2 linked regions of the Neurospora crassa OR74A genome follow. Each later gene encodes a partner of the first gene's protein in a complex. Links are inferred from orthologs where the notes say so. Each region holds a gene or a part of one and is shown on either strand. Other genes may lie near its edges.

The links. Proteins that work in one complex are often made in the same cells at the same time.
Region 2: the proteins of NCU07870 (region 1) and NCU04646 are in contact, whole or in part, in a cryo-EM structure (PDB 8FOD), measured with the Saccharomyces cerevisiae proteins. The link is inferred for Neurospora crassa OR74A from reciprocal best matches to the Saccharomyces cerevisiae genes POL1 and PRI2. Residues at the interface, in NP_014297.3 of Saccharomyces cerevisiae: Glu852, Lys853, Gly854, Leu855, His856, Lys857, Asn858, Asp891, Leu893, Lys964, Met968, Asn972, Arg975, Met979, Gln983, Glu986, Ser987, Asn989, Leu991, Asp1003, Pro1099, Glu1100, Leu1103, Gln1104, Tyr1107, Glu1111, Glu1227, Glu1275, Lys1365, Asp1382; in NP_012879.1 of Saccharomyces cerevisiae: Thr71, Leu72, Glu73, Arg140, Ser141, Lys142, Glu143, Ile272, Tyr275, Gln276, Arg280, Asp285, Arg286, His349, Arg351, Tyr352, Tyr353, Arg355, Glu389, Lys390, Lys393, Glu394, Tyr395, Arg409, Lys413, Ser422, Pro424, Arg425, Pro426, Gly427.

What each region holds. Positions count from the first base shown.
Region 1 is NC_026503.1:1,180,913-1,188,757, reverse strand, and holds the start of NCU07870 (DNA polymerase alpha catalytic subunit), read left to right. Parts: upstream 1-3,536; 5' UTR 3,537-3,711; coding exon 3,712-4,000; intron 4,001-4,091; coding exon 4,092-6,487; intron 6,488-6,536; coding exon 6,537-7,845. Other genes in the region: NCU07871 (hypothetical protein), read right to left, coding at 436-2,928. UniProt on the Saccharomyces cerevisiae protein: Catalytic component of DNA polymerase alpha, which in complex with DNA primase (DNA polymerase alpha:primase) constitutes a replicative polymerase. POL1 has a role in promoting telomere replication during interaction with CDC13.
Region 2 is NC_026505.1:1,345,687-1,353,428, reverse strand, and holds NCU04646 (DNA primase large subunit), read left to right. Parts: upstream 1-3,227; 5' UTR 3,228-3,317; coding exon 3,318-3,507; intron 3,508-3,597; coding exon 3,598-4,783; intron 4,784-4,874; coding exon 4,875-5,040; 3' UTR 5,041-5,266; downstream 5,267-7,742. Other genes in the region: NCU04645 (DUF124 domain-containing protein), read left to right, coding at 1,038-1,053, 1,115-1,141, 1,197-1,922, 2,010-2,359, 2,421-2,594, 2,657-2,701; NCU04647 (actin binding protein), read right to left, coding at 5,389-6,158, 6,439-6,808. UniProt on the Saccharomyces cerevisiae protein: DNA primase is the polymerase that synthesizes small RNA primers for the Okazaki fragments made during discontinuous DNA replication. In a complex with DNA polymerase alpha (DNA polymerase alpha:primase) constitutes a replicative polymerase.

The DNA.
Region 1 (7,845 bases):
GGTATCTTCTCTTGATGATGCTGATATGTGCTTCATGCATTTGTTCGAAAAGGAATCTCCAAGGGAGCGAGTTCAGGGGTAGGCATCCTGCCTGCATTATTATAGAACTCTCAAGCACCAACTGTTGATGTTGTTATCCTACTTACCTTTGTGCGGTTCAGTGTGTTTTCGCCGGCGAGGTTTTCTCTTGTAGTATAGTTATTTACCATTGGTCCCATGGAGCTCAGACAGATACTCCCACGAGAAAAAGGGAAAAGGGGGAGAATATGAAGAACATACTGTATTCAACCATAGAGACACACATATGTCCAACAAGACCAATTGAGGTATCAAAAAAAGTGTATTTATATATACAGTAAATGATCATCTGCCGGGCAATCATCCGGAACCAAACTAACTTACAGCCTTATCTAACAAGAACCTATCCACCATTCATCACCAGCTGGGTTTCCTCCCGCTGCTGCCCCACCGATCCTGCTGGCTGTCCCTATCCCATTTCCCTCCTTGACTCTCTCTCGACCATGACGAGCTGTTATTACTCGTTTGCTGGTACCCGTACTTGGAACTGCTCTTCTCGTCCCTCCGCAACTCGTTCCTCAAACTCCTCGTCTTGTCTCTGGGATAACGACTTTCCGTAATATCTTCCCACTCTTCCTCTTCCTCATCCTCTTCGTTCTCCTCTTCTGCCTCTTTGGGCCGTTGTGCCTGCTCCGCCTTCCTCTTCTCATTCGCAGCAACCGCCTCCTCCTTCTTCTTGTTAAGATTCCTCTCAAACTCGTTAGGCTTCGGCTGGCCAAACTCATATTCTTCCCCGGCATTACTAGCCCCCTTCTTCTCCGCTTCTCGCTTCTTCAGGCCCGCCTCCCCATACCGCTCCACCATCTTCTCTCTCCACCTACCCATCATGTCCCCGTCCTTGGCCACATACCGCTCCACCATGTTCTGCAAAATCACCCTCCGTCGCTTCAGCACTTTGAGGATTTCGTCATCGGCACACATGCTATTCAACATGACCTTGTCCATGGCACTGATCATCCGGCGAGCGGTGACCACGCACTCGGACATGTGCGCCCGCACAGCCTTCCACGCGTCTTCCGGGCTCTGCGCCTGCACACGACTGCCAATCGGGTACGAGTATTGGTTGACCATGATCCGATACGGCTGCCACATCTTGTCGAGGGCGAGTATGATTTGCTTGCCCATTGCCTGGCGGGACCCCAGGGGGTCGGTCTCGGCCATCTTCTTGATGTGGCGGAAATTTCCTTGGGCGGATTGCAAAAACAGGCGCATGGCGATGGCGTCCGGGTAGCGGGTCTTCTTGGTCATCACGTCGAAAATGGTGCAGGCGTGCGGAGAAAAGGCGTGCGGGTTTAGTTCGTCGCGGATGCAGGTCGTGAAGGCCGTCTTGAGGATCATGGGCGTGATGAACTCGGCAGGCATGGACTGGAGGACTGCCGCGGTGGCGGCGGAGCCACGACCGATTTGGAGGACGCGCAAGTAGCGGAAGTAGTTGTCCTTGTCTGGCTTGATGGAGTAGGGTGTGGAGGTGAGCAGGTCCCAGTACTTTTGGGCGAGCGAGGTGCGGCGCGTGTTGGAGAGGACGGAGAGGATCAGGGAGAGGGTGTTGTTGCCTGGTTTGGCGTAGAGGCTGGGACTGTGGGTGACGGATTTGGGTTTCTTATCGAACTTGGGCTTGGTTTCGATAGGCTGGACGGTGGGTGTGGTTGAACCAGATGTGGTGGTTTTCGTTGGTGTCGTTTCTGGTGCTTCTGAGGCGGTGGCTTCTGGAGAGGCTGCTTCAGATGAGACCACTGGCGTGGTGGTTATGTCTACGGCCTTAGCGGTCACTTGGGCAGCTGCCTTCTCGCCAGCATGGAATCGCGGGAGCTGCATGGATGAGGACAGAAGCTCAAAAACTCTTTCGTTGTCTTCCTTGGTACCCAAAGTCAGGAGCCTTCCAAAGGAACAAACCAATTCCTCGTCGATCATGAGGTTGGCCTTCTTCCATTGACGCTGTACATCCTCCCATATTTGCAAGCCCCTGTTGATGGCCTCTTGTTTCTCCCGGTTGATATCTTCTTGGTCGCGCTGCATGGGATCCCGATCGAGTGGCAGTCGTGGGTTGAATTGGGCCCGAAGGGCATTGAAGATGATTGTATAGGTCAGGTTGTCGGGCTTGCGCGTGCTTTCGTTGGCTGTTTGTACTGTCGTGAACATGCTGTCCAAATCGCCGGCGCGGGCACATGTCTCGAGGACAGCGTTAAGATGAATTGTGGTTGGCTTCACGCGCTCATTCCTGAGCAAGCTGTGGTAGATCTTGACGGCTTCTGCAACTGCCTGCTTGGGGTGCTCGCTCATGGCGCAGCCTCGGAAGATGATGGTGTAAGTCCTGGCATCTGGAACCTGGGCGCGCTTCTTCATCTCGTTGTAGATCTTGATGGCGGCAGACAGACGCTTGTTCTTCATGTGGTAGTCGATCAGATGGTTCCACGAGACTTGGACCTTTGCGTTCTTGCTGGCCTTGCGGGTGAGAACAAGGGCCTCTTCATATTTTCCTTTGTCAAGGGTCAACTTGACCTGCTTCTCGATGTGGAAGGGATCCTTGAAGTGCTTTAGTTGTAAAGCCGCACTGCGCTCCAGCTTCTTCCGCTGCTCGTCGCTCAGGTCCCTCTTCTTCCTCTTCCCTTCCGACCCGTCTCCATCTTCTTCCCCTTCCGGCGCTTCGAGATCGAGGGTAACGGAGGGATCGGCGGCAGTCTTTGGCTTGAGGGCGGGCAAGTGGTAGGATCGTATGGTGGTCGTGGACTGGCTTGGTGTAAGTGCGCCTAACCTTGGAAGGGCCAGACGAGATCCAACTGCAGGCGCATTTATCCTAGCCAAAGCTCCAGGAGCCAGGCCTTTCCGCAGACAAGCCCGGCACACAAACATGGTTTGCGGACAACCGAGTTTGCCCTTGATTGTTTTGAATCTTTTTCTTCTGCGAGGTACGGGCCGAGGTACCTGTGTTGCTAATGGTCGGTTGGTGGGGTATCTGGATCGTCGAGTTTCCTGTGACGATTTCCTGTTGTTCTAGACAACTTTGAGAATTGGGCGATGTGGTATCAAAGCTATGGCCCGGGAAGAAATCGATATTTGGTATTTTGCTGCGGCGGGCGCACAACTGCCCTGGACTCTGGACGGAGGATGATGCTGAGATGGAGACCGTGAATGATGGCCAAAAGTTAGGATGACATTCCGAAATTTTGGAGACTGATCTACAAAAATGCCTGCCGCGGCCTTTTGCACTTGTGGAGACGCGGTGGGTCGGGGGTCGGCATCAGGTACACTGACAGGGGCCCCGTTGCTGAAAGGTACGTACACTATGTACGTGGGCCACTACGTTGCTTTCCTTAGGTATCCGCTTAGGCCAAAGCAGCAGAACTGCCCCACCTCTTAAACACGACCGTGACGGGGACAAGGGTTCGCGCTTACAGTTTACAGTAAAGTACGCGACGAGTAACGAAACTAAACGCGACTTTCTTTTTGTTACTGGAGGGGACCAATTGAACCCTGTAATCCCACTATATTTCTCTTACGACTCTTGTCACCAACACTACCACATCACGGTGGCCCCGTCGACATTCTCTCCAGAGTGTTGGCCTGGTGCTCCTCTGTTGTCTCGTCACCATCCAATCTCCAATCCTAAAGGCAACATCACAACGGCCTGTCAAAATGTCCAGACGAGTAGCCAAGCGAGACAAGTACGCTGAGCTGCGCGAACTGCGCCAGTCCGGCAAGAAGAAGACCTACGACGTCGGCGAGATCGACGAGCTCTACGAAGAAGTCGACGAGAACCAGTACAAGAAAATCGTCAGAGACCGCTTGAACGAGGACGATTTCGTGGTTGACGACAATGGCGAGGGTTATGCCGACGACGGCCGCGAAGAATGGGACCGTCTCCCCCAGTACCACAGCGACAGCGAGGAGGAATTAGGCCTACCCGGCAGCAAGCCGCGCAAGTGTGAGCAGATCGAGACGCTGAAACCCGACGATGGGAGCAACTTATAAAGCACTCTGGTTCTGGTACTGACCTTCGTTCTCCTCCCTCTTAGCCAAGAAACAAAAGGAACATGAAGATGCGAAACGAGATGCCAACGACAGAGACATCACCGAATACTTCACGAAAGGCGCCGTCAAAGCCCCACCAAAACAAAAGGTCATCAAAACAGAAGAAGATGAAAAGTTCTTGGACGACCTCATCGACCAGGTCACCGCACAAATCCCCGTCCCGGTCACACGAGTATCCAAGAAGCGAGATCGATCAGTCGAGAGGAGAAAGGTCCGGGTGCTCTCCCCGGTACGGGAACCTCGGCCACCCATGGCAAAGAGAGCCAAGACAGTCGATGATCGGGCATCATCCCCAGCAGGAGACGACGACCTTCTACCAGACGACGACTACCTGCCTGCTATGGACGACGAACCTGCACCAGTCTCCGATTATCTTATGAGCGACGCCATCATGCCCTCCTCACCGGCCGCCAAAGTAGCAACACGGAGGACGTTTGGCAGGCCGGAACCCAAAAAGAATGAGGATGATGAGGACGAAGATGAGGACATGATGGAGGTTGCCCATACTGGAGCGGTAACAGCCGCCAGCGTCAACATATCAGCATCCCGTCAAATCAAAAAGATTCTCAAGACAGAGCCCGTCCCGGCCAGTTCGTCACCCGCAAGGGCACCAGCGCCAGAGGTCGACGCTGCTTCCTGGAACGAGATCAATCAGAAGCTCAATGTCGTATCCATGTCACAAAGCGAGGGCAGGAGCGTTGGCAAGATTGACTACAAGGACGCTATCGAAGAAGACGGCAGCTTGAACATGTTCTGGACAGACTACACAGAGGTCAACGGCAGTTTGTGCTTGTTTGGCAAGGTCCTAAACAAAAAGACCAAAACCTACGTCAGCTGCTTTGTCAAGGTTGACAACATTCTCCGGAAGCTTTTCTTCCTGCCGCGCAAGTACCGTGTGCGAGGTGGCGAGGAAACAACAGAAGAGGTGGAAATGATGGACGTCTACAACGAGGTTGATGAAATCATGACCAAGATGAATGTCGGCATGCACAAGATCAAGGCTTGCACCCGCAAGTACGCATTCGAGCTTCCCGACGTTCCCAAGGAGAGCCAGTATTTGAAGCTCCTCTACCCATATACCAAGCCTGCGATGGAACCCACCCACAAAGGCGAAACCTTCTCCCACGTCTTTGGTACCAATACCGCTCTGTTCGAGCAGTTTGTGCTCTGGAAGAACATCATGGGCCCCTGCTGGCTCAAGATCGAGGATGCAGACTTCACTTCCTTGAGGAATGCTTCGCACTGCAAGCTGGAGGTCCTGGTAGAACATCCCAACATGGTGTCGGTCCCGGATAACGCCGAGAGTATTGAGCCTCCTCCTTTGACGTTGTTAAGCCTGGCTATGCGCACAGCGTTCAACCCTAAGGATAATAAGCAGGAGATTCTCGCGGTTAGCGGGAGAGTCTACCTTGATGTGTCGCTCAGTGACACCACTCCCCCAGACAAGCTTGCTTCTCGTAGTTTCACCGCTGTTAGACCTTACGGTAGCGCATTTCCTATCGGCTTCGAGACGCTTGCCAAGGAAAGAAACAGAGGTGTGCTCAAGCTCTTCAAGCAGGAACACGAGATCTTGAATTTCTTGCTCGCACAGATCGATGTTGTCGATCCAGACGTTATCCTTGGCCACCAGCTAGAAGGTGTTGACTACAGCATCTTGCTGAACCGGCTGCACGAGAAAAAGACACATCAATGGTCTCGTTTGGGCAGACTCAGGCGCTCTCAGTGGCCCTCGTCCATTGTTAAGATGGGTGGCAATGTATTTGCCGAACGTCAGATAATGTCTGGCCGTCTGCTATGCGATCTTGCTAACGATGCCGGTAAATCAGTAATGACCAAGTGCCAGACCTGGTCCTTGACCGAGATGTGCAGTCTGTATCTGGGAGGCGAAAGTCGTAGGAGGGATATCGACAACGAAGTCGCCCTGAAGACGTGGGCTAACGCTGACAAACATGGTTTGATGGACTACATCTCCCACGCCGAGACTGACACTTACTTCATCGCGGCTCTTGCACTCAGGACTCAAATTCTTCCTCTTACCAAGGTTCTCACCAACCTGGCTGGTAACTCGTGGGCAAGAACACTTACCGGTACGCGTGCTGAGCGGAACGAGTACATTTTGCTTCACGAATTCCACCGCAACAAATATGTCGTCCCGGACAAGCAGACCTTCAAGGGTCGGCAACGCATCGAGGAGGAAAACGCAGAAGAGGAAGGCGGAGAAGGAGGAAAGAAGAAGGACAAATACAAGGGTGGTTTGGTTTTCGAGCCAGAAAAGGGTCTTTATGACAAGTTCGTTCTCGTCATGGACTTCAACTCCCTTTACCCTTCCATCATCCAAGAGTACAACATTTGCTTTACCACAGTTGATCGAACATCACTGGTAAGTCAGGGTCCTTCCTCCGTTGACGTCACAAGCTAATGCAAAGTAGTCCGAGGACGATGATGCTGTTCCCGAGGTTCCCAAGGAGCAGGCGCAGGGCATTCTTCCCAAGCTGATTGCCACACTCGTTAGCCGACGTAGGCAGGTCAAGTCTCTGATGAAAGACAAGAATGCCACACCTGAAGAGCTCGCCACCTGGGATATCAAGCAGCTCGCCTTGAAGTTGACTGCCAACTCCATGTACGGCTGTCTTGGTTATACCAAGTCGCGCTTCTACGCCCGTCCTCTTGCCGTGCTCACCACCTATAAGGGTCGTGAGATTCTGCGGAGCACCAAAGAATTGGCGGAGAGCAACTCGCTCCAGGTCATCTACGGTGACACGGATTCCGTCATGATCAACGCGAACAAGGACAACGTTGCTGAAGCCCTGCGTGTCGGCCACGAGTTCAAGAAGGCCGTCAACGAGCGGTACCGCCTCCTTGAGATTGATATCGACAACGTCTTCCGGCGCATCCTCCTCCAAGCCAAGAAGAAGTATGCTGCCATCAACATGGTCGAGGTCAACGGCAAGTGGGTTGAGAAAATGGAGGTCAAAGGTCTCGATATGAAGCGTCGTGAATACTGCGGGCTATCCAAGGAGATCTCCAACCGTATCCTCACCGAGATCCTCTCGGGAGACGATACTGAGGTGTCTGTCCAACGCATCCACGAGTACCTTCGTGACATATCTGCCAAGATGCGCGAGGGTGCCGTCCCTGTGCAAAAGTACATCATCTCGACTCAGCTTGGTAAGGCGCCCAAGGATTATCCCAATGCCGACTCGATGCCGCAGGTCCAAGTCGCCCTTCGCGAGTTGGCCAAGGGCAAGACCATCCGTAAGGGCGACGTCATCTCGTACATCATCACAGGCGACAGCAAGACCACCTCAGAAGCCGTCGCCAAGCGTGCCTACACCCCTCAAGACGTGCTCAAGGCCGAATCTGGCCTGTCTCCGGACGTAGAATGGTACATCGGCAAGCAAATATTCCCTCCAGTCGAGCGTCTCTGCGCCAACATTGTCGGCACGTCGACCTCCCAACTCGCAGAAAACCTCGGTCTCGACGTCCGCCGCTACTCTTCCAACACCAACAACAACTCCTCAGGCCCACAAGACCTCGAAATCCACCCTCTCGAGTCCCAAATCCCCGACTCCCTACGCTTCCAGTCCTGTGCGCGCCTCTCCCTCCGCTGTCGCAAGTGCAAAACCTCGCACCCCTTCGAGGGCCTCGCTTCCCCATCATCCGTCAACAACGTCACGCCCTCCGGCATCCAATGCCCCTCATGCCAATACGTCCTCCCCATGCTCAGCGTCGTCGCCC
Region 2 (7,742 bases), on another chromosome or scaffold:
GCCCTACTTACCGACCACTTATCATTCATGGACATTCCAAGCCACGAGCCAAGGCATCATGTGGCTTATATGGTTCTTGAAAGCCATCGATCGATGGAATTGCTGTTGGTTTAGGAAGCGTTCGGTGATCTGATCTGATGGGTTCAATCTATCTACGTCCGCACTGACCATTCATCACCTTATCGCAGAGTCAACAAACTTCCCCTTTCGTTCAGGAGCTGAACATCGAAGGCCATGAGCGCAGACAGAACTTTATGAACCTTTTTCACATGTTCTCTTACTTTGTTCCCAAACATTCATTCCTCTTCGACGCCCCTTCGACGCACTTTGGTGGGCTAGAATTGGGATTCGCCATCGGAGATCCGAACGCGCACAGGACCCTGCTGAGCCTGTAAGACTTGGCCGCCAATCACGTTCCTCGGTTCCCTCTGTAAGCGCCCTCGTCCCGCGCTTGCACTTATTGCTCCATGGCCCCATGAAGACAAGACGGCGCTCTTCCCTTCCTGTCATCTTCAAGGCCCATTGATTGGGCACTTCATCTTCTCCATACACCCTGAAGCTTGAATTAGAAAGCAGCCCGCACCACAGCCGCTATGGCGGACGCGCAACGAGAGGCCATCTGGGGCACTGTTCAGTCAGTCCCCTGCTACACTAGGGTAGAGCTGCTCAGGTACCAGTGGCACCCTTCAATACAAATGAGTCTGGACGCCGACTTGACGTCCGCGCCAGATGCTCTTTTCTCCGATCCCTTAACTTTTTCTCCCCCGTTTTCTGACTGTGAATCTGTTTGAACCTCTCTTCTTTTGAACCGGCTTCTCACCATAGCTATCTCCATTCTCTGCTGGTGGTCTCACAAACTCGGGCAACACAAGTGATCTGCAGTCAGCTTCTTTTATAAGTGCGGGGAATCCCTCGAGTTTACTCCAAAAGTTCCCATCGAGACTTGGCGAGGTTCATCAAGACAAGGACCATTCCTTTAACAAGCTCAAAACTATCTGGGAAAGGATTCCTGTGTTCGAGAAAAACAAACAATCAATATGTCTTACTATCCTCGTGAGTATAATACGCTCTTCAGTTTGTTATTGTTATATGATAAAGCTAACAAGTATGTCAGCACCTCCTGGAGCATCCGGTGCTGCAGGTATGTTCCAATGTTGAAAAGCGGATGGAACAGTTGATACTGACGAGGACAACAGCCCCTGCTCAACACAGCTACCCACCTCCTCCCATGTCTGCTCCTCCAACCCAGACAAAGTTCTCTTACCCATCTCCTCCGACCACCCAGCAGCAAGGAAGGCATTATCCTCCTCCTCCTCAGTCCGCCGGCTCGTCTGCCACGCCGCCGCCCAAGTCATCCACTCCTTCGTACCCCTTTCCTCCTCAGCAGCAGCAGCAGCAGCAGCAACAGTATCAACAACCACCACAACAACAATTCTCCCCACCACCGGCCCAGCAATTTTCCCCACCACCGACTCAACAACACCAGCAATATGCGCCACCACCAGCCCAGCAGCAAGTGCAGCAACCGCAGCCTCAATACGCGGCTCCCCCAGCCCAGCAGCAACATGCTCCAACCGCCCTCCCTCTGCACATGAGGACCGATTCCAGCGCGTCCCGAACTTCTGCCCACACCCCTCCTCCTCAGCAACAGTTTGCCGCTCCTCCGCCGTATGCTCAAGGCGAGCAGCAGCCCCAGCAGCAGCAGCAGCCAGCACCCACACAACCGGTTGGTCTGGGGTTGAGCACTTCGGCAGCGGCTGCCATTACTGGTGCACCCGCCGCCGGACAGTTTTCCGGTGTAGGTGCGGTGTCGGATGACGTGGGAACGTTCAATGGTGGCAGTTACCGTATCAGCCATCGGGATTGCAATACTATTTTGACTGTGCAGTTGGCGATCGGTTGCCCGTTGGATGCTAAGCCGGGTATGCTTTCTCTCTTGAAATTCACTCCATAGGTGTATCCAAACGAGTGTGTACTTGGCTAACAGTCTCTATCTTATTCTCGCACAGGATCAATGATCGCCATGTCCCCCTCCATGTCCCTCAAGGGAGCCTACAAGTTTGGCTTGAAGAAACTTGTTGCCGGCGGCGAGATGGGCAGCTCGACTTACACCGGTCCGGGTGAGTTGCTTTTGGCCCCTGCCATGCTCGGCGATATCACGAGTCTCCGCCTGGATGGCTCCCAGACCTGGTCTGTCAGCCACGATGGATACCTTGCTTCGACGCAGAACGTCACCAAGGACTATAAGCGCCAGGGACTGGGAAAGGCCATGTTCTCTGGTGAGGGATTGTGGGTGTACAAGATTAGTGGCACGGGGCTGTTGTGGCTGACGAGTTTTGGTGCCATTGTTCGGAAAGATGTGAGTTATCAGTTGTCTGAAGTCCGAGTGGAAGGGTGCGGGTTGCTAACAGAGGAGACAGCTGGCGGACGGCGAGAAGTACATTGTTGACAACGGCCACTTGGTCGCATGGAATACCAAGTACGTTCTGGAACGTGTTGCTTCCGGCGGCTTACTATCGGGCTTCGCTTCTGGCGAAGGACTGGTGTGCAAATTCACTGGCCCTGGAACAATATTCATCCAGACAAGGAATGCGGTTTGTCAAACCCCACACCAGCTTGATACGTTTGGACATGACATAAACTAACTTTTATAAAGACTGCCTTTAGTGCGTTTATGACCGGTCAAACAGCAAAGGCCTAGAGCTGGATTAGGATGTAGGAGTCGTACGGGAGAGTGATACCTGTGGCGGTCGCATTTGAGGCTGTGAACCTCGCATCACTTGATGTCCTTTCATTCTGTTTATTTTGAGTTTGTTAGCGATGTCATGTCGGCTTTGAGATGTGTTCGGGAATAGTTAAAATGTCAGTATCAGTGAACCATGAGCCTCTTGTCCTGTCCTTAGACTAGAAGCTTGACAGCTTCGTTTCCGCTTGGCAACCTATCGATCCGCCATGAATGAGGTTTGGGAAACAGGCGACATAGGCCTGGCTCTCCAAACAATGATACGAGAAGATCCCACCGGGAAAAGACAGACTGAGAAACTTTGAACAGTGGAAAGAAAGTCCAAGTTTGCGAGTAAAAGGGTCTTCGGTGACCGGCTGGCTTTCTAGGGTTAGGGTCAAAGCAGCATCGCGCCCAACTTCACGGACAAAATTACGCCTGTGATTGGCCAGCTTTTTAATTGATTTTGTAAGAGCTGCGCGTCAAGGTAACTTTAGACGCGTCTCCCAGACCAACATCATCCCCAGTCCACGGCTTCCAACCGACAACCTCCCACGTCAGAAAGCCAGGAGGACAGTCCTACCAAGTCTCCATCATGCTACGATCAAACGTCAGTCGCATCGACCCCAAAAGGCGAAACGTCCTCGACCACCGCAAGAAACAATTCGCAGAAGCCGCCTACAAGGACACCGATTATCCCCATCGGCTCAACTTCTACTCGACCCCTCCAACAGCCGACATCACCATTGAGCAGTTTGAACAATGGGCCATCGACAGGTTACGAAGTATGTATCATACCACGCTCATATCTCAGTGATCTACAATACTGGGCGTGCCTCTAAACGCTAATCAACCTCTTTCTTATCATAATCCAGTCCTCGCCGAACTCGAAGCATGCTCCTTCCGTAACAAAACCCCCGCCGAGACGGCCTCGCACATGAAACCTTTACTCGACAAGTACCTCCCGCTCGACACCAACAGCTCCTCCTCCTCCCAGCTCTTCGCCCAGCGGCAAAAAGACCACTACAGCCACTTCATCCTTCGTCTCGCTTTTGCGTCCACGGAGGACCTCCGACGCCGCTTCACCCGCGTCGAAACCATGTTATTTCGCATGCGCCTGAACGCCGACGACGGTCGCGAGCGCGCGGCTTTTATAAACTCGCTTAATCTCGACTGGGAGACTGTTTCGGACGAAGAGAAGCGCGAACTAGCTGCCGAGTTGGCAGCGACTGCCTCCTTCGGCGGCTACAAAAAGGGACAACAGCAGCAGCAGCAATACGAAGAAGACCAACAAACATGGTGCAAAGTCTCGTGGCTGCGCGTCCCCGAGCTGGTCGAACAGCGGCGCGTCTTTCTCCGACAAGGCTACGCCTACGTTCCCGCGCGCGAACAGCAAGCGATGGTCGTTTCGGAATTCTCGTCCCGGCTGGAACGACAGCTCGAGTTAACCGCCCGGGCCCTTCCCCGACTAGACGAAGACGACCGCTTGACGCCCATCCTGGCACACTTGTCCAAGAACTTTATCACGCCCGACGCTTCGTACGTAGGTACTTCATCCGCCATCTCCTCGGCGGATATCTCAGCCAGAAACATCGACACGCTGGTGAACAACCACCATTTCCCCGCTTGCATGTCCCATTTGCATCGCACCCTGCGGCGGGACGCGCACTTGAAGCACTACGGTCGTCTCCAGTACACCCTCTTTCTGAAGGGCATCGGCCTCAACCTCGAAGAATGCTTGCTATTTTGGCGACAGAGTTTCAACAAAATCACCGACGACACGTTCAACAAGGAGTACCGGTACAACGTGCGACACACGTACGGCGACGTGGGCGGCGACAGCAATCGGCGCGGCGGCGGTTACTCGCCATATTCGTGCCAAAAGATTCTCACAGAACATCCTCCCGGACCGGGCGAGGCGCACGGGTGTCCGTACAGACACTTTAACATGGAGAATCTGCAGACGCTGTTGCAGCAGGGGATGGGGGTGACGGATCGCGGGGTGTTGAATGGGGTCAAGGAGGATAAGGAGAAGCAAAAGTTTCATATGGCTTGCAATCGGTATGTTTCTCCCCGCCGCCTTGCTGCTGCTACTCTCTTGACGCTGCTGGACTTGAGCAGTGAATTAACGCTGATGTGGGATACAACCCAGGGTATTCGAACATCTTCACAAGGAAGAACTCAAAAAGGCCAAGGATGAGGGTATCATGACTGCGGCGCAGCTTGAGACTATTGTCCACCCCAACGAGTACTTCAAGCGGAGTTACTTGCTGAAGAATATGGGCAAGATGCAAGGGGATGTCAAGATGGAGGGTTGAAGATACCATGCATGGTTGATGCGGACGAGCTTGAAAAGAGGTTCGATGTGGAAATATGGATGGGCATGGGATGTGGGACCCGGGTTTCTTTCTGTTGTAGTATTTTCTGGCGTTCAGGCGACATAGCGACGACATGACACTCGTACAAGTTCACCCACACACACATGTATGGGATATGATTTGATGAACATCATTAACTTGATCATATTCAACATGTAGATTTATGGTTCTGACATGCTATCCCATACCACGAGTACAGCAGACACCAAAAGAACTAGGCAACACATCACAGGTAATCAAAAGGTGAACAGAAAGTGGTGAGAAATGGGTATCAATTGTTTATTCTTTCTACTGCGGCAATGGCTTCCTGAAGCGACCTTGCAACCAGCAGCGGTACATCTTCAGCTTCTTTGCCCGGTTGACGAGCAATCTACGATCGACACCAAGGTCCTCAATCACGAAGCGGATGTCAGGCTCAGAAGCGTCCTCGACCTCACTGTCCTTGGTAAACAGCTTGCCCGACCAAATATCGGCCAGCTCGTCTTTCTCAAAGAAGTAGACGCGAGTGCCATCACCACGAATGTAGAAGTTCTCGTCCAGATAACGACCCTTCTTGAAGCGGACCTGAGCCAAGTCTCCTCTTCCATAGTCACGGAAGCACACTTCACCGCCGGGCTTGAGCACACGGTAGACATTCTCGACGGCCTTCTTCCACTGCAACGGGGACAATGCAGAGAAGATAAACACCATGAGGGCGACGTCCACCGAGTTCTCATCAAGGTGAGGGGGCAGCTCGTCGCCGGCCACGTCCCACACATCGGCCTGCATCTGGTCCGTGTTGTAGGCCTCGTGCGAGCGCATGACCTCGACGGCCTTCTTGGAGAAATCACAGGCGTGGATCTTCAGTTCGGGGTTCTTGTTCTTGGACAGGATGGGGAAGGCCGTGTTGCCCGCGCCAGCTCCTATTTCGAGGAGGGTGCAGGGGCCGTATCCCTCAGAGGTGACCTTGTCCAAGATAGGGAACTCCTGCTGAAGCCACTTGCGATCCTTGAAAAAGTTGGCGGTGTTATTCTTGTAGAACTGGTTCCACCACTTTGCAGGGTCCGAGTTGAACCGGTCTGTTGCAGGCAAGTTGAGTTAGCAGACTGCTCCAAGGTCTGGATGTGGTAGCAACTTGGTGTTTGTTTGAAACAGAACCCAATGGTAAAGGGCAAAATCAGATGGGAGCGAAAGACTATAAAATACGTAGTTGTCTTCATGAATAATTCAGATGAACTATGCTTATGATTGTAAATCATCACGGAAGCCCAAGAGAGAGGTGCAATGGGTATGAACCCCTCTCTTAGCGTGAACCATTGGGGAGAGCGAGGTGTGAAAGATGGACGAGTGGCTACTTACGCTTATCAAAGTCCGAGACGGGCGCATTGCGCTGCATCTCGTACTGCTGTTCAGCATACTCCTTGTATGCGTCATCAGTCTCGACATGATCCCACGCGTTGAACTCAAAGACGTCATCCTGCTCCTGCAGATAGCGAGATCCGAACTGAAACGGGTCGCTGCGCTTTTGGTTGAACTGGGGATCGTGGGACCGGTGGGGAGGCTGCTGTTCCTCCTGCTGCTGCTCAGGCTGCTGTTTCTCCTCGGCTATTTCGAGCTTGGAGATCTGGGCAGCGAGCTGCTGCTCGGGCTGTTGTTGTTGTTGTTGTTCATCGACGACAACCTGTGCCTCGGTAGAGGCGACAGGAGCGACGACGCCATTCGATGCCATGGCGAAGGACAATGTTGGAGGATCCTGGTTAGTGCACTGGTAAAAAGATGCAGCTAACAATCACCACTGGTCATTGAATGGCACTGGCTTTGTTGAAAGGTTGACGCAGCATATCGTGCTGGTTCTTGAACCGCGGAGGGAACGAAGAATGAAGAGACGGAGAGGAGAGGAGGGGGAAAAGATTTGCAAATTCCGAAACGAGGAAAAGTACAAAAAATGGTCCAGAGCCTGTGGAGCCAATTGGGCTGTGGAGGGGGCCCACCCAACTTTGCACTCAGTGGGCACAAGCTCCGACTGTCTTATCCTTATCTACCCCTAACCCTGGTTGTCCATTGAGGTTGTCGCATCAAGGAGCTGTCCCTCACTCGCCCCCGAATTCGAATCTGGAGATAACTCGCAGACAAATACTTGAAAATCGATAGAATCAAGATCTTGATGCTGGAATACGACCAAATGTGTGAAGTAGATATGATTCAGCGTTCTTCCCCCAGCCGAACCGTTCGACCTTCGAGTCCCGCAGCAGCTGCCGTACCTTCCCTACGGCTCCTTCATCCGATCTCAACCTCAACGCTAATGACCATATTAGGGACCCGGTTGGTCCCTAATTTCAACAACAACCGCTTGGTCAGATGGCACAACGGTCTACCGTTTGAGTTCTCAAAACTCAAAAACCTATTGCCTGTCCGGATCGGGAACGGTGTGCTAAGATACGGAAAGGGGTCTTCACATCTAGTAGCCGGTCTACCTATATGGTATCTGGGAACGCTCCAGTCGACAGATGAAATCAAACGGTTCACCGATGCTCTGACCGGGCGGTTGTTGTTTTTTGCTCCTCTCCTCTCCTCTCTTGCTTGCTTGGAGAGAGGTGGTGCGTTCGAGCCAGTCGTCGATAATCTTTTTTTGGCTTCTTAAATTTCATTTGAAGACTACCGAA